Linked DNA regions of Rattus norvegicus. The protein of the gene in region 3 interacts with the protein of the main gene of each other region in a pairwise test. Links are inferred from orthologs where the notes say so. Each region holds a gene or a part of one and is shown on either strand. Other genes may lie near its edges. The genes, in order: Cep63, Dpysl2, Disc1, Kalrn, Gnptab, Cdc5l and Crnkl1.

Region 1 (3,500 bases), on a different chromosome or scaffold from region 3:
GTCTTGCATCAGACTAGCTCCGCATGGTCCCTTCCAGCTTTCTCATTCTCCTGCAGGAATCGAGATCTTTAGATAACTAACTCCTCAGCTGTGCCACCAACACCTTGCCCGTGTACCACTTGTCTGTACTCATCTGACCTCCCCACCAACCCTCACTGTCCTGCTTGCTAACCAGCCCAAAGCAGGTATCTACTAAAAATTCACTGAAGTAAGTAAGGAAGTTATTCCTGAATAAATTCATTCATTTAAGACAAACAAGCAAACATTAAGTGGAGAGCTCTGGGTGGACTTTACCTTATGCTCTACGGCCTTTTCTTCCGCCTTCTGCATCTCTGCCTTCAGCTGCCTTTCCATGTCTGAGGAGGAACACTTGGCAGAAGCAATAGTGATATCTCGCTGGTGCAACTCCCGGGTTAGCTGGGAGATTTCCGTCTTCATTCCTTCCAGGGCAGAGCTGTAAGTCTGATCAGCCTGCAGAATCTGTTCCTTCAGCTGTAGAGAGGCACAAAAGAAACATTAAAAGTTCAGAGAAAGTATTTAGGATTCAGGCATATGAATCTGCACAGCCATAATTCTAACACTTAGGAGGCAGAGCCAGACACAGGAAGACCCTAAGATTGAGAACAGCCTGCTCTGGCCAATGGTCGCAAGGCCAGACTGAACTTTGCAGGAAGACACCATCTCAACAACCAAGGTTTAGAGATGTAGCTCAAGGTTATAGCACTTGCCTAGCATACACAAGGCCCCAGAAGAACAAAGTATTTGGAGAGAAAAACACCTGGTTAATGGCTGCCAGGAGAGGGTTGTCACTTTTTTCAATAGTGTAGTCACTGGTAAATTGCTCTAGTAGATAACTCCCTATCAATGATCATGTAAGCAACCCTACTTAAACTCAGTAGAAACACAAAGAGAAAGAAGGAGACAACATAGGGAAGGAGATCACAGAAGGGAATAAAAGAGGGTACCGGAGATAAATATGATACAATACATAGTACGTACGTACATGTGTGTATGTGTGTGTGTGTGTGTGTGTGTGTGTGTGTGTGTGTGTGTGTGTGTATGTGTGAAATTGACAAGTAAATGTTTAAAATATATAGAATTTAACAAAGAAAAATATAAAAAAAATTAATAAAATAAGGTAATGTTTATCTTACCTTAAGACATAAAATTTTTCCTAGATTAAATATACATAAAATCATCAATTTACCAACTTGTATAACTATTCTGAAAATTTGGTGGTTAAATTCAAAATCATGCATTAGGTCTTAGAAGAACATGTGTTACTCAATCACAGGGGTCGATGACAAAGTCTATGTCTAATTTATGTAGTCTCTATGAAAAGACTTTCATTCTTTTCACAGCAACAAATTAAAGCGTGTTTGTTTTAGGTTTTTGTTTGTTTCTTTATCTAGTTTTCTGTTTCTCAGAAGAGAAATAACAGAAAAATAAGAGACAGAAAGGGGCGAGAACCTTTAAGGAAGATGGCTTAGTCTATCACAGGCCTGCAAGCAGGAGCAGAGAGACCTCAGTCTAGATTCCTGCACCGCCCATAAAATTCACCTTGGAAGGTTGTGTACATCTATAATCCCAGCACGGGGGAGAAAGACAGCAGACACAGGTTGATTCTGGAGTTCAATGGCCAGCTAAGCTTGTCAGCCAATGAATACTGAGTTCAGTTAGAGTCCCTGAGGCAGGTAAGGGTGTGGGGAGAGAGCAATAGGCAGACATTTAATATCTACTTCTGGATTACACACGCACATGCGTATGCACACACACATATACACACACACACGCATACACACACATATACACCCACATACACATGCATACACACATGCATACACACACACACACACACACACACACACACACGAACTAACAATAATCTCAAGAAGTAATGAAAAACACAAATTAAGCCAAGTAGAGTAACAGACACCTCTAATCTCAGTATTTAGAATTCAAAAGGCGAGAGGATCATGAGTTTGAGGCCAGCCTGGGCTACATAACAAGACTAATCCTCCAAATAAATCCTCCTAAAATTTTTATTTATTTTTGGTATTTTGAGACAATCTTGTGTAGCCCAGGCCAGCCCTGCTATCCTGTGTCTGCACCTCCCAAGGCCAGGATTAGAGTGCGTCAGCACACAGGGGACAGGACCCCTTAATAAAAAGGCTCGGAATAACTCAAGAGTCAATGAGGACATTAACTACTCCACAGCACAAAGGAAATATATATTCATCTTTAGCCAATAAGAAAATACCAAATGATACGTCATATAATATCTTTTTTGAAGAATAATAAATACACTTGTTTAGAAATCATCATGAACATATTCGATCACGTTTTTAATGTACAGGCTTTCACACTCCCCCACATGCACGATGTACTTTGATCACCTATATCATCCTCTCTTACCCTCCTTGTCCCCTGAGCAGCTTCTCCTCACAACTTCTGCCACGCTCTTCCACTGACCATCGGACAGTGTCCTGAGCTCATCCCTCACTAAGCGCCGCCCGCCCAGCCCTGAGCCCGGCACAGACGCAGGCTCTCACCTTCTTTATCTCTGTCCGGTACTCATTGTTATGCCCTTCCATCCTCTTCAGCTCTTCGTACTTCTCCATCAGTTCTTGGCTCAGCTGTTTACATGTTGTACTCACAGATTCCAAACTGTATGGCAGAAATACAACCACATATAAATAAAATTCCTGAAACTCATGAGATGGATTATCTAAGTGTACCCTCTCGATGCCCAAGATACCTCCTACTAGCACCTTAAACTTTATAGTTAAGTCACTTGCAATTCCCCTATCACTGATGCAGCAAACCATGTCAGCACTGAGGTAGTTTTGTCCTCTGTGTTTTCCTCCACTCCTTCCCCTCATTTAAACTTTACGGAAGTATAAAGACACTGCAGCTTTACTAACAGTTCTGTTCTAGTTGTACGGGTCTTCTCTGGCTCTGTGAGAGAGGGAAAGCCACCAGGGACTGTCACAACAGACTCACACTTCATCACCCTTAGCAACACACAGACACACACACCCTGCATACTCTGCAGAACCACAAGAACTCTTAAAAGAGTCCCCAGCTCATTATTCTTACTCAAGAGCTGATCTTTCTGAGACTTAAGACCACGAAGGCAGCACACCTCGCAGTCCAGTGCTCTTTTCTGACAGGATCTTTTTCACCCAAACTGCTAAGCTTTACTTCTGCCATCAGGCCGTTCACTCCGTGCCTGCCTCTTGTATCAGTGTAATCATCCCTCACCACAAAGCACTTCCTTCCCCTGACCCTTGATGACCATACCTTCTCAGAAACTAAATTGGCTCCGACCTAACCCCTGCCCCCCATTTGCCTTATATAATTCAATTTTTATAACTTGAAGATAAATTTTTCTAGAAATGTTCTACTTTAAATATGCTAATTTAAATTCCTCAACTCTTTAACATGAATATTTTGTCTCTGAAACTGAAAACTCTATGGTTAAAACATTTTACTTCTTA
Region 2 (3,500 bases), on a different chromosome or scaffold from region 3:
TTTGTTGCAGAGTGTGGGGTAAGGAGCCAGAGGAGGGAAGAACGGCTCTCGAGTCATGGAGGACAATGATGTGGAAGATGTCAGTTGGGTTTTGAAGGCTGAGTAAGAGTTTCTCAAGCCAAAGGGTGGAGATAAAGACACTAGAAGACGGATACGATCTGTGGTGTACAGTGTATTCAGGGCAGGGTGAACAGTGCATGGCTGGTGGTCAGGAACTGCGAGGTGGAGAGGGAGTGGAGCTTTAAGGGAAATAAGAGAGGAGTGCTATTGGGAAGACACCTTCATTCTGAAAATGACACAAGACCCTTTTCACAGTACGACCGGGGGCTTCTTGGAGGGTTCAAAGGTGATGTTGACGTAGTGGGGAAAGTTATAAGAAACCAGTTGAGTAACTTGTTGTAGGGGAGTCACCTTGGGAGAGCTTTTGGCCTAGAACTTTGGGGGCTGGTTGCACATCTGTCTCTGTTGTACCTATCCATACTGGGGAGGGGCTTATCCCCACACATCACAGGCCCGTCTTGGCTACCATTCTATCACACTGAGAAGGTGCAGGGAAGATGTCCTCTGTGAACATGACATAGGCTGTGGGACGATTGTGTGTTTCAGCTGGCTGAGCTGAGGGGGGTCCCTCGTGGCCTGTATGATGGACCCGTATGCGAGGTGTCTGTGACGCCCAAGACGGTCACTCCGGCCTCATCAGCTAAGACATCCCCTGCCAAGCAGCAGGCGCCACCTGTTCGGAACCTGCACCAGTCTGGTTTCAGCTTGTCTGGTACGGCTGGGGGGGTAAGGTGGGGGGTGGGGGGCGTTCTAGGTAGGTTCAGCAAGCTTTGTGGAGCCATTCCGAGGCTTTTGGCTCCACCACTGCAGAGACGGAAAGACTATACATGACAACGGAGTTTCAGCATCTTCTGATGGGCCATGTGGTGCTGAGACACTCCCCGTGGGTGACCCCTTTCAGACTGAAGGGACAATCCTTGATCTGTCACGTCCATTGTTAAAGAGGAACTGTGCTGGATGAGTGTGGAGCCTGGAGTTTCAGCAGCCTCACCTTGCTCAGGCCTTCTGTGTCACAGCAGAGCCCCCTGTAGAGTTGTTGTGACAGCCACACCTCAGTGAGTGGAGAAGAGTAGATTTCTGTCTTGGAAAGTTCTGCCCCTCTTTCTCCTGGCCCATAACAGGTCCTTTCCACTCTCCACTTCCTTAGCTTTAGACAGATATCTAAGGCCTTGTGACCTGTGAACAGCATAGTTCATTACAGACTTTCCTTTTCTTGTCCCATCTGCCGGATTTTAGAAAATACCATTTGTGCCGGTGATGAACGAGGACCGTGTCATGGTGCTTTGGGTTGGCAGACAGGCCCTGTTGTCCTAAAGTGTGAGATTGGTCACAATGTGTATCATCTACGAATCGTTCACATAGACAGCACAGGTTGCCAGTCCGTTATGTAAAAGAAATGGTTGGGACTGGAAGCTAGTCTGCCTCTTTAAAAACTGGAAAAATATGTAGATAATGAACCCTATGTTGTGACTAAGACCCAAGTCCAAGCACAAAGTGTGGGCAGGGACAGATGGCTCAGCAGTTAAGAATGAACTCCGATCTTGTTGGGGACCCAAGTTTGTTCCCAGCCCCCATGTCAGCCAGCTTACAACCACTTGGAACTCTAGCTCCAGGGGATTTAGCGCCCTCTTCTGGACTCCGCAGGCACTGCACTTATGTGTATAACTTCCCCGCACTCATACATGTAAATACACATAATTAAAAATAGAAATAAAATCTTAAAAAGCCAGCATGCCATGCATCTGTGTTTCATATGCATATGACACAGTCTTGGAGGGGATTTGATACAGGATTTTTAGTACCTCAAGTTTGACTACAGTTAGTCATATCAGGTCAAGTGTGGAATCTTCCACTGGTCACATCCTGTCAACCCTAAAATAGTTGTAGAGTTTAGAGCATTCTGGGTTTGGGAATTTCAGGTCTGGGATTCTTTACCTGAACCATCCATACTCCTCCTGAGTGAGAGGCATGTGTCAGAAAAGCCATATTCACTAGTACTTTGCATCAAATTTATACTTGCCCAGGGAGAGATGACCTGTAGGCTGCAGGCAGGTCCTCCTACTTCCTGTAGTTTGAACTTACCGTAGTTAGTGAGGTTTGGAGAAAGGGGTGGGGATATGTGTGCTTGGCTCAGCTTTTCCCCCAGGAGTGTTCCTGGGCTTACCGCAAGAGTCTGATTTTATTTCTGAAGACCCTCACACTCTTTTTTTTTTTGTCTCTTCCCTCTTCTCTAGGTGCTCAGATTGACGACAACATTCCCCGCCGCACCACCCAGCGCATTGTGGCACCCCCTGGTGGCCGCGCCAACATCACCAGCCTGGGCTAAAGCTCCTAGGCCTGCAGGCCACGTGGGGATGGGGGATGGGACACCTGAGGACATTCTGAGACTTCCTTCCTTCCAATTTTTTTTTCCTTTTTTTGAGAGAGCCTGTGATAGTTGCTGTGGGCAGCCAGTTCCTGGGGCTTCCTCTTGGGCCCCCTGCACTCGGTCTCCCCTGGAGTTTCTGAATTCGCTCACCCAAGTCCCTACACAGTCATGAACACCACACCCAAGCCCAGCCACCCACCCCACACTGAGCTGCATCCAACATGCAGACATGCGCCACCATGCAGATCCCAGCAAGGGTGCCCTTATCACATCCTTGGCTGTGCAGTCAGCACCTTCCTGTCACGGGGAAGATTTAGTGAATTACCCTGAGCTGCCTTCTTTTCTTTTGAAAAATTTTTAAAAATGGTTTTCTTTGTGGGACTGGGGAGGGATGGGGGGGTGGGAGTGTTTTTTTTTTTAATACTAAATTGAAAGTCTGATTCAATATTAATCCTTGGGTCTTGAACTGGACATCCTAATGATGCAATTACTTAACCATTAAGCTGATTCCGAGGCTGGCAGGCTACCGCCGCCCCTCTGGAAAGGTTCCATGTGTCTGTATCACCCATCCCTTACTCTTCCGGGTCAGCTGTTGAGAAGAGACTGGTTTTCTTCTTTGGCCTAGATTTTGCAACAGATTAGACCTTTTGAAGGTTCTCTACCATTTTTCTGTGTCTCCGGTCTGTTCTGGCTTTTTCTTCTGCACTCTTGGAGAGATTTAGATGTTGGTCTCCTGGTTTGTGTTTCTTCGAGACAATGTGCTTTTTTCCCTGGCTTTTTGTTTGTTCTCAAAGCCAGGCATCTGAATTTGGCCTCAGACACAGCCTGAGCGGACCCTAGTTTTGACCCCCACTCCATAGTTTTGTGCTAGCCTGGTGTCTGTTTAAGATTGGTGCTAGCTGATTCCCGTCACTAGGAGGTGGCTGAGCTTGAGGCTTGCCAGACACAGGGATGGTCCTGATTATGTCACCAATATTGTCACATGTGGGCCCAGAATAGAGTCACTTGTGGTGGAAAGAGATGGGGGGAAGAATTAGACTGTAGGAGTAACAGTCTCCAGTTAAATCTGTAA
Region 3 (4,274 bases):
TCTAAGGGACTGGCCACTGGGAGCAACACAATGACTGTGTGAGAGACACAAATTGAATTTGGTGATGTTTGTTTGTTGAGGGGAGGAGAGGCACAAAGGTGGGAGGGTGGCAGGAATAGGAAGTGAGTGGGGTGGGATGCATTGCATTTGTATAAAATTCCCAAATAATCAATAAAAATATTACATTAGGGGGAAGGCGAAGTTCTTCCTGTGATTTACTCTCATTTTGTTAGGGTCTGCAATTATGAAAAATGCCAGCTAGAGGTAGGACGGTGTGCTGAAGTGCTCACCTGCTTGTCTAGCATTGCACAAAGTCCTAGGTGTGGTCCCTAGTACTGCATGTAGGTAGGTAAGCAGATGGCTGGAGATAGGTAGGTAGGTAGATAGATAGATAGATAGATAGATAGATAGATAGATAGATGATAGACATATAGATAATAGAGAGATAGATGATAGATAGATGTAGATAGATAGATAATAGACACATAGATAATAGATAGAGAGAGATAGATGATAGATAGATAGATAGATAGATAGATAGATAGATAGATAGTAGACATAGATAATAGATAGGTAGGTAGGTAGATAGAGGTAGATAGATGTTAGATAGATGTTAGATAGATAGATGATAGATTAATGATAGACATATAGATAATAGATAGATAGTAGAGGTAGATAGATGATAGATATAAATAGATGATAGATAGAGAGATAGATAGATAGATGATAGATAGAGGTAGATAGATGTAGATAGATAGATAGATAGATAGATAGATAGATAGATAGATGACAAAATAGGTATAAAAGGCAGAAACAGACCAAGCATTGCCTTTGACCAGAAAAGGTCTACTCTCAACCTGGGCTCTACCTCATGGCTTCCCTTCAGCCAGTGATTGGAGACACCAGCACCTGGTTTCTGAGCCTCAGTCCTTGTTTAACAACCAAAGCCACAGGCAGGTGACTAGCCCTTGCCTCATGGAAGAAAAGATGAGAATGGTAGCACCAGCCCTCACAGGTTTGAGGAGGACCTCATCCTAGGGCAGGAGCAGGTGCCTGGCCCATGCATTTTCTGCAAAGGTGGCACCAGCCCCAGTTCCAGATGTTCTGCTTCTCCTGATCCTAGGGCAACACTCAGTGTGAACGGTGCTTTCTCTTTCTGTCAACAGAAGAGAGAACCGAGGCTGGGAGAGGCAGCTCAGAATGCAGGGTTCTCATCCAGGGCTCTTTTTGCTGTGAGCAGAGTCCTGGCTAAACCTTGACAGTCTCCACATCAGATGCCAAATGTCTTTTAAAATATCCTGTAATTCAGACGCTAACTAACTCACACTGGCATTCCTGTATTACCCGTAATTATTAGGTCTTGTACGGTCAAAAAAATAAATAAATACTTAGGGACCCATGCGTAGTGGAGCACACCTGTAATCCCAGCGCTTGGGAGGCCAAGGCTAGCGAATTGGAGGCCAGCCTAGGGTATGCAGGGGATTTAAGGCTAACCTGGGCAACTAAAAGATTTTTGAGAGCTTGCTGTGTATCTCAGACACATTAAACCAGGGGTTTAATGCCCTCCTACCACATTAAACCCTTTAAAAACCCGACCAAGTCGGGAGGAAAATCAGCTCCATTTTGCAAATTGAAAAACTGAGGCAAGCCCGAGTCTAGGACGCATGTGCAGGAGACTCTCACCCTACACTCACCCATCAACCCTGTGTTTTCTAACTCCCATTTGCAAAAAAAAAATTCTTCATAGAACCTAGTTAAGGAGACAGGCAAGCGGGTGGCTAGTGCCCCTTTCACAAATGGGCAAACTGAGGCTCCAAGAGCTAAAATAAGAGCCTAAGTCCCTTGCCCTCTCTCCTTCAGCACGGCACGCCCAAACTGCAAAGCCCAGTCTGGAGCTGGGCTCCCTGCTTGGTTTTTGTTTTTTTCTTGTTTTTGTTTTGTTTTGCTTTGCTTTGTTTTTCCGTTATTCTGGTTTGATTTGGGTTTTTGAGATAGCGTCTCAGGCTGTATTAGAAAGTGTCCGCAATCCTCCTGGCTCAGTCTCTTGCGTACTAGCAACAGAGGCGTGCGCCATCACATTCATTTCCTTGGTTTTCTGACAGTGAGTTGCGGAGGTCATTGTTGAAAAGCGGCCGCCCACTTAACTCGATGTCATCACTAGGGTTGGTAGGTGGCCCATGCTGACGGGGGAAAATGGAGTGGGTCCCCTCAGCCTGCGCTGCCCTGCGCGTCACAGTCCACACTCGGAAGTGGGCGGCGAGCAGCCCCACGGGAGGTGCGGGCTGCAGTTCCCACACCTCTCCCAACCTCGCCCTGCGTCCCCACAGGGTCCGCGCCGGCCACGCGAGAGAGAGTCCCAGGACCGAGCTGCACTCAGGCGCTGCGGACGCCGCCCTCCACCGACTGCGCCCCAGGCCGCCAGGCTCCCCCCAGCGGGGACGCGCTTGGACGGGAGCTGCAGTGGCAGCCGGAGACGCGACAGCCCGCACCCGGCACGCCCCGCTCCCTGCCTCGGTTTCCCTCCCCCGCACCGGGGTGCGCCCGGATCTCGGCAGGCCGCGCTCGCCTTCCGTCAGACCCCGGGCCCTACCTGGGCAGTGGCTCGGACTGTGGATCCAAGCGCCCCGGGAACCCGCGCCCTGCATCGTGCGGCTGGCTGCGCTCCGGACGGCGGCAACGGTGGTGACTGCGACCGCGGAGGCGGCGGGAAACGGGCAGGGGGCCGAGCCGAGGGCTGGCTCCTTCCTCCTGCCCAGGACCGCCGCTTCCTCTCCAGCTTCGGCCCCCTCGCACACGCGCGCCGCCCCTCGCGGCTCCCAGACCGCAGCGCGCAGAAAGTTTTGCTTTTCACTTGAAGGAAACCAAGGAGGGGAAGTGTGATGGGGCAGGGTGACCAGGGACCGAAAAACTGGGCGCTTCCCCGACCCTGGGAGTAAAAGGCAGGGTGGACAAGAGAGGGACTTCTTCCTACCAAGTGACAGATGACAGGTTGGGGGGTGGGAGCAGCTGTTAAAAATGACTTGAGGATCGCTGGCAGCGCGGGGCTGGCCAGGAGCACACAAGCCTGTGCCAAGCTCCTAGCAGCTGGCTCACCTCCACCATCCCTTCCCTTTGGCTGCTCCAGCAAAGCACCTGCTACAGGACACTGGGTCCAGGAAGTGCCAGTCACGGGTAACCTGGCCCTCTGGACCCGGAGGCAAAAATAAACCTACAAAACTGAACTGTGGGGAGTAGTCAGCCTGAAGCCAGGAGGCCTGGCTGTGGGTGGAACGTGGGGGAGGAGTGGGACGCTAGGAAGAAGCATGGGAGAGTTTCTACAGGAAGTGAGGAACCTGTGACCACTGGAAGACAAGGCCCTGGAGAGGTGGGGCAGCCAGTTGCCTGTTACCAGGAGCCTTAACGTTAGCATGGGTGGATGGGGCTTGAAGTTGATAAAGACATGAGCAGAGAGTCTGGATTTAGTGAAAATCCAGTTGGAAAAGGGGCTGTCAGTGTCCTAGTTAGCTTTACCTGTCCGTTTGACACAGCCCAGGGCTAGGGTTAGGGCAGATTGTGTCTGTAAGAAATGTCTTGACAGTTAACTGGCCTTCGAAGGCCCAGCCCACTGTGGGCGGCACCATTACCTAGGTCTTGAACTAACCAAGAAAGCTAACTGAACTGAAGCCCATCTATGAGCCAGCTGGCAAACAGCATCCTCTGCGGTTCCTGCTGTACCTGCTTGGCAGTGAGGTGAGCTCTTGGTTGGAGGTTAATGCTGTGTGTTATAGTAAGCAGGCCTGCCTTCAGGCTCCTGCCTTGGCTCCTCTCAGTGGTGGCCTGTGATCAAGTGGTAAGCTAAAATTAACCCTCTCCTCCCCCAAGAGGTATTCCATAGCAAATGCAGATGAATTGGCCAGCCTGCCATTGAATGCTCTCAGGTATCTCTGACTTGCACCCAAGGATCGCTAGGAATATCTCTGAATACATAACATAAACTGTCTTAAAACGGGCCGGGAAGCTGGCCTGACAGCTAAGAGAACATACTGTGGACTGGAGAGATGGCTCAGTGGTTAAGAGCACTGACTGCTCTTCCTGAGGTCCTGAGTTCAATTCCTAGCAACCACATGATGACTCACAACCATCTGTAATGGGATCCGATGCCCTCTTCTGGTGTGTCTGAGGACAGCTACAATGTACTTATCTATAATAAATAAATATTTAAAAAAATAAACAAATAATTGAGAGAGAGAGAGAGAGAGAGAGAGAGAGAGAGAGAGAGAGAACATACTGGTCCT
Region 4 (3,500 bases), on a different chromosome or scaffold from region 3:
TCTTATCATTGCAAAAGAACTCAGCGATCTGCTTGCCTTTGTTAAGCACAGATGCCCAGTCCCAGGGGCAGGAACTATGTCACTCCGTCCCCACCAAGGCCATGCTGGGCTTCACACTCCCTCCCTCTCTCCTCAGAGTAGGGAGACATCCATGGATATAACAACTTGCCTTGGCATCAGTTTGCAGTAGGACTAGGCACAGAAAGACAGCTCACATCCTTAGGGGCTGTAAGTCCAATAGTTAAAGAGACAAAGACCAGGAGATAAATGATGCTTTAAAAATGACATGGGAAATACTAGAGACCACACCTTAGTCAAGCTTGTGAGAACATAGAACTGTGCTCTGTTGGATGTGATCTTCAGGGAAGGTGTGTGGAAAGCAAGGCCTGTGAAATCGAGTGCTCAGTCTTTCTCTGCAGTCAATAGGGATAACTGGTGGAACCCTCCTCTACCAGGAAATGGAGATGGAGATGGTCTCGGATGGATGCAGGCTGAAGAATAGCTCTAAGGAGGGTGGGTGGCTGAACACTGCTTGGAGCCGTGTTGTAAATGTACCCCTATTTGTTTCATGTGATGAGACAGTACCACGTCTCTGTGCTCCAGCCTCTCTTGCCTCATCCCTAGAAGATCAGAGGGAGGTAGGGAGCCTTCCAGGGGCTCCATCATTCACCCATCAATAAAAGAGAAGGGTCCCACAACAAGGAACAAATAAAAAAAAAAGTGGCCTAGAAATAGCCACTATTTATTCAGTACTGTGTGTTACTTCTTTCTTTCTGTGATGAGACACCATGGCCAAGGCAGCATATAGAAGAAAGAGTTTATTAAGGGCTTACAGTCTCAGAGGGTGAGTCCATGGCCATCATGGTGGGGAGCATGGCAGCAGGCAGGTATGCATGGTTCTAGAGCTGCAGTTGAGAGCTTACATCTTGACCCACAAGCACAAGACAGGGAACTAACTCGATATGGTATGGGCTTTTGAAACCTTCACAGTCTTCCTCCAGTGCCACACCCTCGCCAACAAGGCCACACCTCCCAATCCTTCCCAAACAGTTCCAGCAACTGGGGACCAAGCATTCAAACATAGCGCCTAAGGGAGCCATTCTCATTTAAACCGCCACAAGCATAAGTACAGACAATGCCTTAAATCCTCATTGCCTCGTCTGACTCTCGCACAAGCCTGACAAAGAAGTAGGTCTTATTTTGTCATTGATGTTGCTGTTGTTGATGTTGCTATCCCCACCTTAAAAGATGTTACCTTTTCAGGGAAGCCCAAACACAGAGAGTTTAAGTGATTATTCACAGCGACCAGCTGGCAAGAGGCAGAACCAGAACCCAAATCTGCATATGGCTGGCTCCACTTATCCCATTTTCAATCAGTCTTTAAAAGCTGGCAAGCTGTCAGAAAGGCGAAGGAGTTAGGAAGAGATCAATTATGCTGAGGACAAACCTTTCTTCCTTCACATTTCTCCCATCTAAAAACGTTAAAAGTGAAAACACCCTTAACATACATGAGGCTCACTATTGGCACCAGACTTTTTTTATTTCCATCAACCTAACCTCTTTTTTTTTTTTTTCTTTTTTTCGGAGCTGGGGACCGAACCCAGGGCCTTGCGCTTGCTAGGCAAGTGCTCTACCGCTGAGCTAAATCCCTAACCCCCAACCTAACCTCTCAAAGCCAGGGGCTATAAGGATTTCTCCTGCAGCGTAACACGTTTGTAACTTGATTCATTCTAGTTCTGAGTGTGGCACTTTCTTTGGGCTCTAGAGTACGTGTGTGGTGCAATACTAAACTTTATTAATGAGACCTCTTAGAGCTTTTAAAGCTATATACATGGGTCATTTCTCTATCCCCCACCCCTGCCCTCCTCTGCTTTCAGGATGGATGACGGCCGACTCTTGGACTACCTAATGAATCACGATGAGCTGATGGAAGAAAAGGTAGCTTTCTACATTCGAGACATCATGGAAGCTCTGCAGTACCTTCACAACTGCAGGGTGGCACATTTGGACATAAAGGTAACAGAAAATCAGTACCTGTTGAAGTGAAGCAGACGAGTTCAACTTACCAGCCATTTCCTTGAGGAATACAAATCTGGATTTCTTTTTCTTGTTGTTGCTTTGTTTTGTATTTATAAAGACAGGGCTTCTCCATGGAGCCCTGGCTGTCCTGGAACTCACCCTGTAGACCTGGCTGGCCTTGAGCTCAGAGATCTGCCTGCCTCTGCCTCCAAAGTGCTGGGATAAAAGGCATGCATCACTATTGCTCAAGGGAATGTTTGAATTTCTTTTGTCTACTTACTGTGACGTCATGTGACTATTAAACTAGGACTAGACTTTCACCCTACTTACGTGCATTGTTCAGGAATGTCAGGAATGAAGGAGAACACACCTGAGAGACGGTGGCAGGTGGGCTAAGAGAAGGCGTGAAAGCTTTAGCCAAGTAGTCTAACCTTATAGACATCACTTAATGTCCTATTCTCTTTTGTTCTGTAAGAAAAAGGAGCTTCTGAGGGCTGGAGAGATGACTCAGTGCTTAAGATCCAAGTTCTTTCCCTAGCCCCACATTGCTTGGCTCACAACCACCTGTAACTGCAACTGCACTGAATCTGATGTTTTCTTATGGCCTTCAACACACCTGCACCCAAATGGAAGCCACTCATATAAATACATACACATAAAGAGAAATAATTATGTTGCAAGAAAGGGTTTTTCTGTGTAGCCCTGGTTATGCTGGAACTCATTCTGTAGACCAGGCTGGCCTCGAACTTGGAGATCCACCTTGTTCTGCCTTCTAAGTGCTGAGATTAAAGGCCTTTGTTACCACCACCCACCAATACACACACACACACACACACACACACACACACACACACACACGCATACACACATATACATGTATACACACACACATTTACTGAGAAGCTTCTTTTTTCTTAAAAAGCTATTTCTTTTCGTAACTCACTGCAAGAGCAAAGGGTAGGTAAGAAAGACGTGCTCTTCTGAAATAGGCATATGACTTAGTAGCAGAACGCCTGCCTAGCATGCATGAGGCCCTGGGTTGGATCTCTAACACTAGAGTGGGGAAGTACAGGCTGGGTGCAGCAGCCCTTACCTTTTAAACCCAGCAGTCAGTAGACAAAGATGGGAGGATGTCTGTAAGGTCCAGGCCAGCCTGATAAACAAAGTAAGTTCCAGGCCAGACAGGAGTACACAGTTAGCCCTGTACTCCTCCCCCAATGCCAGCCAGCTTATCTAAAGTGCAACTGAAACAGAGTTTAGTGAGTTTGAAACCTCCTTTGCACTGGGAGTATTCCACATACACAAACTGAATCAAAGAATAATAGAACGTTGTTAGCTAACAAATTCTAGCTGGGGGTCAACCAAGACCTGATCTTGCCTCTCTTGTCCCCACCTTCCTGGGTCCCTGTAGCCTGAAAACCTCCTCATTGACCTCCGGATCCCAGTGCCTCGAGTGAAACTCATCGACTTGGAAGATGCTG
Region 5 (4,149 bases), on a different chromosome or scaffold from region 3:
CCTGCTTCTGCTTCCTTAGTGCTGTGATACACACACACACACACACACACACACACACACACACACATACACACACACACACACAGAGTGAATGAGTAAAGTTGAGTTTCAGAATATTCACCCAAAAGGTCTCTCGAATAATAATATGATGGTATGTAAGGGGGGTCAGGGTGGAGTTCCCTACGGCATCTTCTTTAAGTGCCCTGTATCATTGATTTCCTAGTTAAGTACAGAAAAGATACTTTGTTGGTAATGTTTGCTTTGTCCTTTTCTTTTTGGTGCTGGGAGTGAACGAAGGTCTTCCTCCATGTTAGGCAAACACTCTATTACCGAGTTACTTCCCTGTCCAGATAAACTTGTGTGTAGAAAATATTCATGGCATTCTAAGTTGCAGTTCCCAGACAGAAAAGCACAAAGAGATTCCACAAAGCCCCAAATCACAAAGCTTTGCGAATGTGGAGAGACACAATTGTTGCAGACCAGAGCCAAATTATCTTGGGATACTTCTGGTTCTTTTGAAAGACACTCTCATCTCTCTGTCTGCGCTAATAGCTTGGTGGCTATACTATTCAGTTGTATTTGAGGGTCCCTGAAATGGTTCAGCAGGTTAAGGTGCGTCCAAACCTGACTACCTGAGTTCAATTCCCTGAACCCACAGCATGGAAGGACAGAAATGACTGACACTCATCCTACACATACACAGGAGTGCCCATGCATACACAAACAGACGCAAATAAGTAAATATAGAAAGAAAAAAGTAATAGATGTTCTTAGCAGTTCATCCATCAAAAACTAAGGCATCAGATAGAATCTAAACCCGTTAGTTTACTTTGCTTTGCCACAGTCAGTCTACCTGTGACCTCAAAAATGTATTAGGTAAGTGCCTTGATTAGTGACTTTTGTTTTTCCAAAACTAATTATACCATTATACCTCGGGTAGGAACGTCTAGAGTAGATTATGCCATTTGGGGCAAGCCGAATGTGCATTCCCTAGCCACGATCTTTCAAATTTTCTTTCAAAGATAAACTTGAGACCGGTGCTGTGTTTTCGGACCCAGCAGGATTGCCCATCTGCATAATTCAGGGGACAGCCTGGGTTGGTTACTTGTTGATTGGGTGGGTCCCACGGGGCAGAGGGCAGAGGGCCGGGCTCGCAGCGCACGCGCAGATGGGAGGGCGCGCGCCTGCCCTTGCCCCTCCGCCCTCCAGGTGGCGCTGGCGACCCGCTGCCGCCTCTCCGAGGCCAACCCCGGGCGGCGCCGGGCGCCTTGCGGGCCGCGGGTCCGCCTCCGCCGCGCCGAGGGCGTGGGCTCCGGGCTCCCGGAAGCGGCGGCCGCGGCGTGGAGCCCAGCGGGCTGTCGGTCGCTGGAGCGACAATGCGCGGCAGCCGGGGACTGTGAGCTAAGCGCGGCGGCGCGGCCGGGCGCCCCTGAATGGCGGCTCGCTGAGGCGGTGGCGCGGCGCGGGCTCCTCCCGGCGTGGGGTGGCGGGGCCGGGGTGATGCTGCTTAAGCTCCTGCAGAGACAGACCTATACCTGCCTATCCCACAGGTATGGGCTCTACGTCTGCTTCGTGGGCGTCGTGGTCACCATCGTCTCGGCTTTCCAGTTCGGAGAGGTAAGTAGCGGAGCCCGAGCCCCGGGAGTCGCGTGCGCAGCCCTCCCGGACCGAGACCCGCAGTGCCCGCACCCCGAATCTCCCTCCTGCCTCCCCATCCTCCTTGCAGCCTGGGAACCAGCACACGGCCCACCCAGGCGCGATGAGCGCGCATCCTCTCCCCGGCTCGCCTGAGCAGCTGGACTGGACGTCCGGGCCTCCCATGCTTAGCGTGCGGATGGGTCCCCTTCCTTCTCCAGGGTGTCCCCAAGAGTCCTCCGGTCATTTGATTTTGGCTCTCAGGCCTTGCGCTGGTGAAACTCTCTCCTAGGGTTTGTGTTTTTCTGTAGCGATCCTTCATTCCGTGGCCTCCTTCGGATCCAATCCTGCGGTGCCACCCTACTAATCTTTCACCTTTGACAAAATACCGTGCCTTAATGTTTCTTCTGGATCTCAGACTTTGTCCTAGAGGCACGCGCGGTTTTGCATGTGAATTTTGCGCGGTTTTGCATATGGATTTTGCAGAGTGAAAGGGGGATTTTTTTTATTAACTTTTTTCCCATTTCATAATTGCTCTGCTGCTTTACTGCCGCAGCATGTCGGCGGCCGGAGGCCTTGCTAGTGAGAATGCACACGCTGATGGGAAGCACCAAGTGCTTATCTTAGAGGAACTTAGAGTAGGGACCTTGTCAGGTGACTAGGACTGCCTGCCGGATCTTGGACTCCAGCCCCGGACCTCTTGAGAGCCAGCACCGACCCTTGCGTCACGGGCTATGCTTATACATTTTAGATCAAGTCGCTGGCCCTTCTTGGACTGAGAACTGCGCTTAATTAATGTTGAGTAAAGCAGTTTGGTTAGACTGTAAACTCTTCAAAGGGCGCAGGCAACCGGTTTGGGGGGTGTGAAACACCAGGTTAAATGAATTTTATGCTCCTTTGGAGACATACCTTGTTACTACTCTTAAATTTCAGTTATTTGATTCTTGGTAGTCCGATAACAGTATAATCTATCTTAAGTGTGCAGAGGGGTATGAGCAGGTCAGCAATGCATGGGCACAAGTGGGGCGGCCATTCAACAAAATACTGCCCCTAGAGACAGGAAGAAAACGTGTGCTTTCAAAGATTTTGGAATTGTCTCCCTGTTTTATTTATTTGCTTGTGTTTTAGTAAGAGGTTTAAAGGGTTTTATAATTAACAGAGCGCTCTTATAAAACAGCACAGTACACATGTGTGTGCTCTGTGGAGGAGGTGGTAACAGTTTAAATATAAATGCTGTAACTCTAGCCCGAGCCCAGTGCCAGGCACTGCCAGTGTGTACATTCTAAGATCTGTTTAGTGTTTAGCATCTGGCTGAACGATATGGCCTGTTTCTAAGTGTGATTTTAGTGGTTCTAGGGACTAGAAAAATAATTTTGCTGGTGAGAATGAGAACCTTGTCCAAGCGTGGAGTATTTTAATATCCCACTACCTCCTGGTCAGTCTTTGTTCATGTCTTGTAACTTGATATGTTTATGCACAGTTAGTGCCTTACTGCTTGTGGATGACTCTTGATTTTAAGAGAGAGCCTCACTAAGTTGCCCAGACTTGCAACTGAACTTGAAGTTCAGTCTTTCTTTCACAGCCCTTCTGAGTGCTAGGGTTCCTGGTGCATTTTTTTTTTTTAAGATTTATTTATTTATATGAGTACACTGTAGCTGACTTCAGACACACAAGAAAAGGGCGTCAGATCTCATTACAGATGGTTGTGAGCCACCATGTGGTTGCTGGGATTTGAACTCAGGACCTCTGGAAGAGCATTCAGTGCTCTTAACCACTGAGCCATCTCTCCAGCCCCCGGTGTATGTTTTTAACCTGGTTCATTTTAAGTGAGCTGTTTACTAACCACGGTGTAAAATAAATCTATTACAGCCTTGAAGAGTTTGAGACAGGGTCTCACCACGTAGCCCAGGTTTGGCTGGAATCCCCTATGTAGACCAGGCTGGCCTTCCACTCAGATCCATCTGCCTCTGCTTCCAGAGTACTAGGATTCAAAGTGTTATGCCAGGAGGCCTGGCTTGTAGGCACAGATCGTAAAGTTTAGATTAAATGAGAGAAAGAAGAATAAAGAGTGTCCCCAGGTAGCAGGAGAGGTGGTGGCAGCTAGCCTGTGGTGGGGGGAGGGCTGGGGAGAGCTATCTGGATGTGACTGATGGCTCCAGTAATACTAACCATGCTAATAACGAACACATAGTCCTCACTAGGTATTCTCTTAACTGCTTTACGCACCCTTTTAGTCGTCACAGTATCATGTGATGTGGACAGTAATATTCTACTCACCTCACAGGTAATGCAGCTTAGGTGTTTGTACAAGTTAACACAGCTAATTCACAGCAGAGATGAGCTTCAAACTGAGACAACTGGCTTTGATGCCATCGTCATAATAACACCTCTTTTAAAGATTTATCTATCTATTTTTTTTTGCACACCAGTGTTTTGCCTGTATGTATATGTGTGAGTAAGAGTGTCAGATCCCCTGGTACTGGAGTTACAGACATTTGTGAGTAGCCATGTTGG
Region 6 (3,500 bases), on a different chromosome or scaffold from region 3:
TTAAGCTGTTAACCAGGCTGGAAATCAAATATCTATGGACTGTGGTCAATGTAAAGCTAATTGAGATATCTTAACCAATGAAAATGTTAATTTGTATAACTAATTTTTAAGACATACCGTATTAACTTGAAATTCTATGCTTTTAAGAGTTTTTGGATGTGTATTGAAACCCACATGTGAGTGAACTCTAATATGGGTATTAGATCGTGTTGAGTACAGACCTTGATGTAGCTCTGTGGAATTTGCTGCTCGGCTCTTGTGGCGGGAGGACTGTTGTGGACGTGGTTGAGAAGACAGTTGATACCAGTTCTCTGCTGATCTCAGCTGGATCCGTTCTCCATCTTGGCTGCTCATTAGAACTTACTGGGGGCTTGGGAAACAGTGCTCTGAAATCATTGAATCAGAAACTGGGGCTGGTCATTTTTTTTTTTTTTTCTTTTTTTCGGAGCTGGGGACCGAACCCAGGGCCTTGTGCTTGCTAGGCAAGCGCTCTACCACTGAGCTAAATCCCCAACCCCTGGGGCTGGTCATTTTGAAGAGCTTCACAAATAATTATAAGTTTAGTCATGGTCTATTCACTAGTTAAAAAAGGCATGCTCCAAAAATGTTTTCTATGGAAGAGAGTAAATGTAAAATAGTCTCTTCTTTCCTTGGCTGCATTGTGAGACAAAATTAAAATATTTTATTTTGCAAAATAAAATAAGTATTTTTTTTTATTTTTAATTGTGTGTGTGTAGTGTGTGGGCATGTGCACTTAAGTACAGGTGCCCAAGAGGGCCAGAGCATTGGGTCCTCTGGAGTTGGGACTTAGAGGAGGTTGTGAGCTGCCTGACTCGTGTCCTTTGTGAACTATTGTTCTAGCGTAAGTAGGTCTCCATACCATCTTTCTAGAACCTAGATCCAGAAAGTTCTGCTTATGCTCTCAAGGACAGGGGAGAGTTCTTATGTCTAGAAGAATTGTTTCTCAGAAGTACTCTTTCCATTGTTTGGACTCTGAGGTGTAAATCACACAGCTCAGACCGCTGCTTTTGGGTAAAGAGATAGGTGTTTCTTCTGTACTCACAGAGCTGCATAGATGTTACTGTACCTTTAGGACATTTTCTTCACACCAGGAAGAACCCCTATACCCACACCAATCACTTCCTCCTCTTCTCAATGTGGGGCTGAAGGCTGCACTAGTTCCTTTTCACATAGATTTGCCCATTCCTGATACTTCATGGAAGTGAAGTCATGTTGCGTGTTGGCTTTTGTGATTGGCAGCTTTTATTAAACATTGTGTTCTGGAAGTTCACAAGTAGCGTGTTAGTACTTTCCTGCTTTGTATGGCTGTGTGCTGTTCTCTTGTGTAGGTAACAGCTCGTTTTGTTTATCCATATACCATGGATATGATGGGGTTGTAGTCGTGTTGCTGTGAACAAGGTATATATGCTTCTGCCATAGCATGTCGTCACTTAAGTATATGCTGGGAAGGACATGGCTGGCACTGAGTATACTCAGGGGTCCTTCACCTCATTTGAACTTCCTGGTTAAAACAAAAATCTCCTCATCAAGTCAAAGAGCACCAATATGCTTATGTTCTGACATCATTGCATTGTGAAAGAGAGGTCCTGTGTTGTCTTTGATATGGTGATTTGCAGAAGGCACACTGCTCATCCAAAAGAAAGCACAGCTGCTCTCTGCTCTTCCCCCACAACAGGTCTTTTGTTGAAGTTGAAATTTAAAGATTTTCAAGTCTTTTTCTCAGTCCTTTACTGATTACAGAGGAATGAAAGGTTGGCCTCTTCCTGTCTATAAAGCCATCACTGTAATCAGCTCATAACTGTTGATTGCTTGTTCTCTGCCAGGTTCTGCATGTCTGGGGTTTGTGTACATCATCTCCTTTAAGTTTCACAGCTAACTGTCAGCAGTGACCACCGTTTTACTACTGCTGGTGAAATGGAGGCACTGAGGTTGGATAACTGCTCCGTTGGAACAGCTGGGTAGTCCCACTGTTTCTTACCCACTGTTTGAGCTGCCTGCCTGACAGTAGTTGTTGGTTCCTTTGGCAGATGTATTATGCTGTGAACTTACTGATTTACTGCCCATGAGGGGAAAATAAGGAACAGTAGCAGTATACTTGGGTTTAAGTCAATTGCAGAAGCATAAAAGCTTAGCCTGTATAGATGTTGAGAGAACGATGGCTTTAAAGGAGCTTTATTTAAAGTAGCTTTAGCTCCATCCCATATTCCAACATGCACACATGCAGTATCCTTCCCCACCCCTGTTAGCTCACTTGACTTAGCCTTGCAGTGCAGTAATCTGGAGGTGGGTGGGTACAGTACCATTTCAAGTGGCCTGCTGCACTCGGGTGGAATACTGGTCGGTGTAAGACGGGGAATACATGTGCTACTGAAGTGAATTTTGGTATGTAAAAGATGGCTAGGTGGCAGTCTAGAATGACTGATGAATGGTCACAGAAATCATTTGCACAAGGTAGAGAGCAGTTTTTCCATGCTCCAAAATTCAAGCCCTCTTTGGAGTGAATTTTGGGTGAAGTTATGGAATATTTGGGTATAAGGTAATTCCTTGTTGAGGCCATTTTGTGTTACACATTGTATCAGTGAAGGTGGGAGGAACTCTGGTGTGTTTTGCTTTAGGTACTTAGTTTAGCCCTGTTACATAGTAATCTGTTTTTTCATGTATATTGAGTGATTTTCCGCTCCTTCCCCAATTCCCCAGATAAACAGGGGTCACATGACAACAGAAGCCAAGAGAGCTGCAAAGATGGAAAAAAAGATGAAGATTTTGCTGGGTGGTTACCAGTCCCGCGCCATGGGGCTCCTGAAGCAGCTGAACGACCTGTGGGACCAAATCGAGCAGGCGCACCTGGAGCTGCGCACCTTTGAGGAACTCAAGAAACACGAAGACTCTGCTATTCCCCGTAGGCTAGAGGTAACGGCATGGGCTGCCTAATCGCTCAGGAGCTGTGAAGGGCTGCCCAGTCCTTCCTTTCCCCTCCTTCTAGCAGGTATCTCTAAGGTATCTAGGTATCTAGACTGGAGTGGGTTCTGACTTTCTGATCTAGCCCTGCCTATGCTCAGATGGGTATCAAACAAACGGTTGCCGCTCTGAAGACTCTGCTCATTTTCTTTTGTGTTAAAGGATAGACAGTGTGGGAGAGTAAGTCAATTTTGCGACTAGTTTTCTTGAAACTTAGTGGCTTGTCATATATATGTGGCTCTTGGAACCCGCATCTTTTAGTTTTATGATTGAAGATGCTGCACATCACAGAACATCAGGTCCTTTGGCCAAATTGGGTTTAGATTTATCTTCTAGGTGTGCACTGTGGCCGCTGCCCAGCTTCAGGGCAGTCAGGGCTCTTTGCAGTGTGTGTGGGTGTGGAGAAGACTGCAGAGCTCTTACAGGATGGCAGTCACAGCCAGAGCAACGAGTGGCTGCGGTACTAGTTTGATAGCAAAGATACTGGCTGTTGGTTTCTCTGTGAACTGTGAGAACCTGAG
Region 7 (3,500 bases), on a different chromosome or scaffold from region 3:
AACTCAGTCAGCACTTCCAAAGCAGGACTGTTCTTTTGTTTTGCATTTTGGGAAATGCGGTAGAGGTAAACATCTTAACATATGCAAAGACATCATGTGTTCAAGCACACAAGCAAGCTTTCAGTTATCAAAAGACCCACTTGGAATCCCTATGTATGTGTTCTGTCTTCTTTCTTCCACTCTGCCTCTCTGAATCCCCACCCTCCTCAGGATTTCTACACTGGTAACTGCATTACTGACGTGTCATAATAGACTGTTAATGGTGCCACTCACTTGAAAATTCAATTGATACATAATAAAATGTGATTTTGATCCAGCAAGTGTACCTTTTTGTGAGGAATTAGTTCCAAAGATGCTTGATACACCTGTCTTGTCCTCTCAGGATCCTGTATTAATATGAGAAATAGATAAATAATGCTAATATTTATTTTGTCAATTTATTTCATACCTGTAGTAAAAACAGACTTCCATTTCTCAAGACACTATTTTTAAAAATTGATTTATGGTCAAAAACAGCAACTACTTTTGATCATCAAACTTTTTCTAAGAGTAATAATGTGGCCATGTTTGAATGCATCAATGTAGAAAGACCTTAGCTGGACAGCAGAAAGATGTTACAGTCTCAGATGAACAGAGGATAGTCTTTACCTATTACTGGCTTCTGGAAATGCCACTTGGTTTTTACCAAAAGCAAAAATATACAATCTGGCCCTAATCTTTATTTGTGATAAAACACAAATTGGGGAACTATAAGTAATTAAACTGCTTCACTGGTTGTTTCAAGTTTTAAATGTTATCTATCTTACTGTGCCTCAAAGTTTTAAAACAAAACACCCCTATGTCTTAACAGGCATGGTTTGAATGATGTAAATTGGTTGCTAGGGCCCTAAAAAAATTTAAAACTGTTTGTCTCAAAGATTGTAGCTATCGGTTAATACACAGAGCAGGCAAGGTCATGATGCTGGGGTAAGAAAGGTATTCATGGCTGCCCCCATTCGCCTTCTCACCTTGGCCTCCAGCTCTTCATAGAGTGCGTAGTTAACCCAGAGGTAGATGTAGCGTTTCCAGTGCCTCTTCTCCTGGATGGGTGGCACATTGGCAATGGCTCGCTCATAGACTTCCCGCACAGTGTCCGCTTCTGCATCACTTTCCACCAAGCGTAAATAATCAAACCATGCATCATAATTGTGTGGATTAGCCTAGAAAAAGACCCCAGCTTAACCGATAAACACAGAACCAAGAGCCAGACTTCACAGGCTGTCAGAACTGTAAGGAGACACCAAACTTTCTATATTTTAGTAATTTTCTCCTTTAGATCTTTACCTGCTATCTCATTTTTAAAACATCATGCCTGAGATCATACAAAAGGGACAAAAAAGGTAGGGACCTCGAAGCAGAGACTCTTTCCTCTGCTGCCACCAAGTATGAGAACTGCTTGATAATGACATTCCATTGTCTCTGAGACAGGGTCTCACTCCACACCCTAGGCTAGCCTTGAACTCATGACAATTATCTTGCCTTGGCCTCTCCAGTCCTGGGACTACATTGGTTTGAGCTACCGTGGATAGCTTTCAACTTGTATACATGTACTTTTTTACACATATGACTGTATACCCTTATGTTGAAAATGAAATTATAATGGGTATATACCAGACTCTAAATCAACAGTCATTTTTTTCTGAACACATTTACTGATCTACCACTGTAATTAACACCAGACTTAGTCCTTTGCTCGGAGCTATCTCAATCTGACTAAGCAAAAGATACACTGAACAGTGAGAGAAAACACTGCTATTTTTGACTGAAATCAAATTGGTAAACTGCAGAGCTTAAGAACAGACTGTCTACTGTAGATCTCTTGCTCGTGCAGAGCAGGTGTTTAGAACCATCTGACCCTCCCATCCTTCTCCAAAAATGAGCTCAAATAAATGCCACATTTTTTTTTTCAGCCATAGACTTGATATGACACCTAGCCTAGCCTTGAACTAACAATTTTCTGCCTCTATCTCCCAAGTGTTAGGACCCACATTTCTTCAGCTTGCTATTAGTTAAAGGTGTCTGCACCTGGGAATGGCAGAGTAAATCCAAGTATGGCTTGCTCTCCTTTCCACCAGCCACGTTTACTCTAATCTGCCTGAAACAGCTCAAGTCTGTTAGAGGCGTCATCGAGAGAGTAATCAGTAGCCCCACTTGCTATCACGTGCACCAGCCCAGAGACCTCTAACAGCATGAACCATCTACAGCAGTGCCCACCTTCACTTCTTCTTCATACTGGAATCTCCGTTTGCTCACGATGATGTCTTCTATACCCCTCCGGTCACCAAACTTCTTCTCAAAGATGGTATAGTTTTTAAAGAGCTCTTGGGCCTCTTGCTTGGAAATCCTATCCAGGGCATATTTGTAGATAACTCGTACCCTTTCAAACTAAAAGCAGGTAGGAAGATTATCATCTAAAACATAATCTCATTTTAGTCACGCCTTGAAAATAACTACAACCTATTACTTATAAATTAAATTTTGAGGCTTCAATCAGAAAAGATTCATATTTAATATAATAATTCTGTATTTATAGCTCTACATTTATAGATCTATATTAATGCTTCCATATGTAATATTGTCATAAAGCTTCTCCATCCTGGGTCCTTTTTCAGGCTGGTAGGCAACACCTTCATGGCATGCCTGCTCATGACCAAAGCCCCACGAGTCTGTTCTGGTTCCTCTCCTGTTCTCTGCTTCATTGACTCTCTGAACAAGTGTCAACCGACTTTTAATTTCTTCACAACTGCCCTTTTCTCCTGCTACTGACCACCTCCTTTTCTGAGAACTTTTGAAAAAATCTCACCGGATTCCCGGTTTTATCACCTGCTCCTTGGTAATTAGTGCTGATGATCAAACCCAGACCTCGACTGAGGCTCACAAGTGCTCTTCCACGGAGCTTCATCCTCAGATCTCCCCCACCCCGCCTCTGCTCTTGCTATGCCCCTACCCTGCTCCAAAATATTTTCATAAACTAGCCAGAAGGTCACTGTCCCACTGAAAACCCTCTAATCTGTGGCTCCTAGAGAGAATCTGACCCCTCCAATTCTATTCTTTTCTGTGTACACCATGGAAGAGAGGAACTGGCGTATCTGTGGGGCAATCTGTGTTCCCATTGTACGTTGTTTCCTCTGCTTGAGGGCACTGGTTCTTTGCCTCCCCAGCTCATTATCCCTAAGACCCTTGAATCAGGATACCAAATGGCTCTCAAGAGGCTACACATGCACTTTTGTGTTTTCGAGATAAGGTCTATGTACTATGCTGGCTTCAAAGTTAAGCTTTGCCTCAGCCTGAGTCAATCATCAATTTTCTGAGAGGTGGCATTGGAGGCATGTGCTAAGACACCCAACTCCAGGTATTCATATTTAAAGGTGTAATTTTCACACAAAGCAGAGTGAAATTAAGACAGTCGTTGTACATGACCACTCAGCTCCAATGGAGAGCTCAGCAATAAATGTGTGCTG

What was found.
Region 1: the proteins of Disc1 (region 3) and Cep63 interact in binary tests that used the Homo sapiens proteins (3 or more experiments, as listed by UniProt). The link is inferred for Rattus norvegicus from reciprocal best matches to the Homo sapiens genes DISC1 and CEP63.
Region 2: the proteins of Disc1 (region 3) and Dpysl2 interact in a two-hybrid assay, tested with the Homo sapiens proteins (2 studies listed by BioGRID and IntAct). The link is inferred for Rattus norvegicus from reciprocal best matches to the Homo sapiens genes DISC1 and DPYSL2.
Region 4: the proteins of Disc1 (region 3) and Kalrn interact in a two-hybrid assay, tested with the Homo sapiens proteins (2 studies listed by BioGRID and IntAct). The link is inferred for Rattus norvegicus from reciprocal best matches to the Homo sapiens genes DISC1 and KALRN.
Region 5: the proteins of Disc1 (region 3) and Gnptab interact in a two-hybrid assay, tested with the Homo sapiens proteins (2 studies listed by BioGRID and IntAct). The link is inferred for Rattus norvegicus from reciprocal best matches to the Homo sapiens genes DISC1 and GNPTAB.
Region 6: the proteins of Disc1 (region 3) and Cdc5l interact in a two-hybrid assay, tested with the Homo sapiens proteins (2 studies listed by BioGRID and IntAct). The link is inferred for Rattus norvegicus from reciprocal best matches to the Homo sapiens genes DISC1 and CDC5L.
Region 7: the proteins of Disc1 (region 3) and Crnkl1 interact in a two-hybrid assay, tested with the Homo sapiens proteins (2 studies listed by IntAct). The link is inferred for Rattus norvegicus from reciprocal best matches to the Homo sapiens genes DISC1 and CRNKL1.

What each region holds. Positions count from the first base shown.
Region 1 is NC_086026.1:112,050,147-112,053,646, forward strand, and holds part of Cep63 (centrosomal protein of 63 kDa), read right to left. Parts: intron 2,668-3,500; coding exon 2,553-2,667; intron 493-2,552; coding exon 295-492; intron 1-294. UniProt on the Homo sapiens protein: Required for normal spindle assembly.
Region 2 is NC_086033.1:45,182,354-45,185,853, reverse strand, and holds part of Dpysl2 (dihydropyrimidinase-related protein 2), read left to right. Parts: intron 1-606; coding exon 607-772; intron 773-2,294; coding exon 2,295-2,386; 3' UTR 2,387-3,500.
Region 3 is NC_086037.1:69,910,502-69,914,775, reverse strand, and holds the start of Disc1 (disrupted in schizophrenia 1 homolog), read right to left. Parts: upstream 2,801-4,274; 5' UTR 2,646-2,800; coding exon 2,591-2,645; intron 1-2,590. UniProt on the Homo sapiens protein: Involved in the regulation of multiple aspects of embryonic and adult neurogenesis. Required for neural progenitor proliferation in the ventrical/subventrical zone during embryonic brain development and in the adult dentate gyrus of the hippocampus.
Region 4 is NC_086029.1:80,298,749-80,302,248, forward strand, and holds part of Kalrn (kalirin), read left to right. Parts: intron 1-1,877; coding exon 1,878-2,016; intron 2,017-3,430; coding exon 3,431-3,500. UniProt on the Homo sapiens protein: Promotes the exchange of GDP by GTP. Activates specific Rho GTPase family members, thereby inducing various signaling mechanisms that regulate neuronal shape, growth, and plasticity, through their effects on the actin cytoskeleton.
Region 5 is NC_086025.1:24,686,668-24,690,816, forward strand, and holds the start of Gnptab (N-acetylglucosamine-1-phosphate transferase subunits alpha and beta), read left to right. Parts: upstream 1-1,349; 5' UTR 1,350-1,500; coding exon 1,501-1,617; intron 1,618-4,149. UniProt on the Homo sapiens protein: Catalyzes the formation of mannose 6-phosphate (M6P) markers on high mannose type oligosaccharides in the Golgi apparatus.
Region 6 is NC_086027.1:23,096,897-23,100,396, forward strand, and holds part of Cdc5l (cell division cycle 5-like protein), read left to right. Parts: exon of another isoform or gene 1-386; intron 387-2,718; coding exon 2,719-2,931; intron 2,932-3,500.
Region 7 is NC_086021.1:153,797,615-153,801,114, forward strand, and holds part of Crnkl1 (crooked neck-like protein 1), read right to left. Parts: intron 2,425-3,500; coding exon 2,254-2,424; intron 1,200-2,253; coding exon 1,008-1,199; intron 387-1,007; coding exon 327-386; intron 1-326. UniProt on the Homo sapiens protein: Involved in pre-mRNA splicing process. As a component of the minor spliceosome, involved in the splicing of U12-type introns in pre-mRNAs.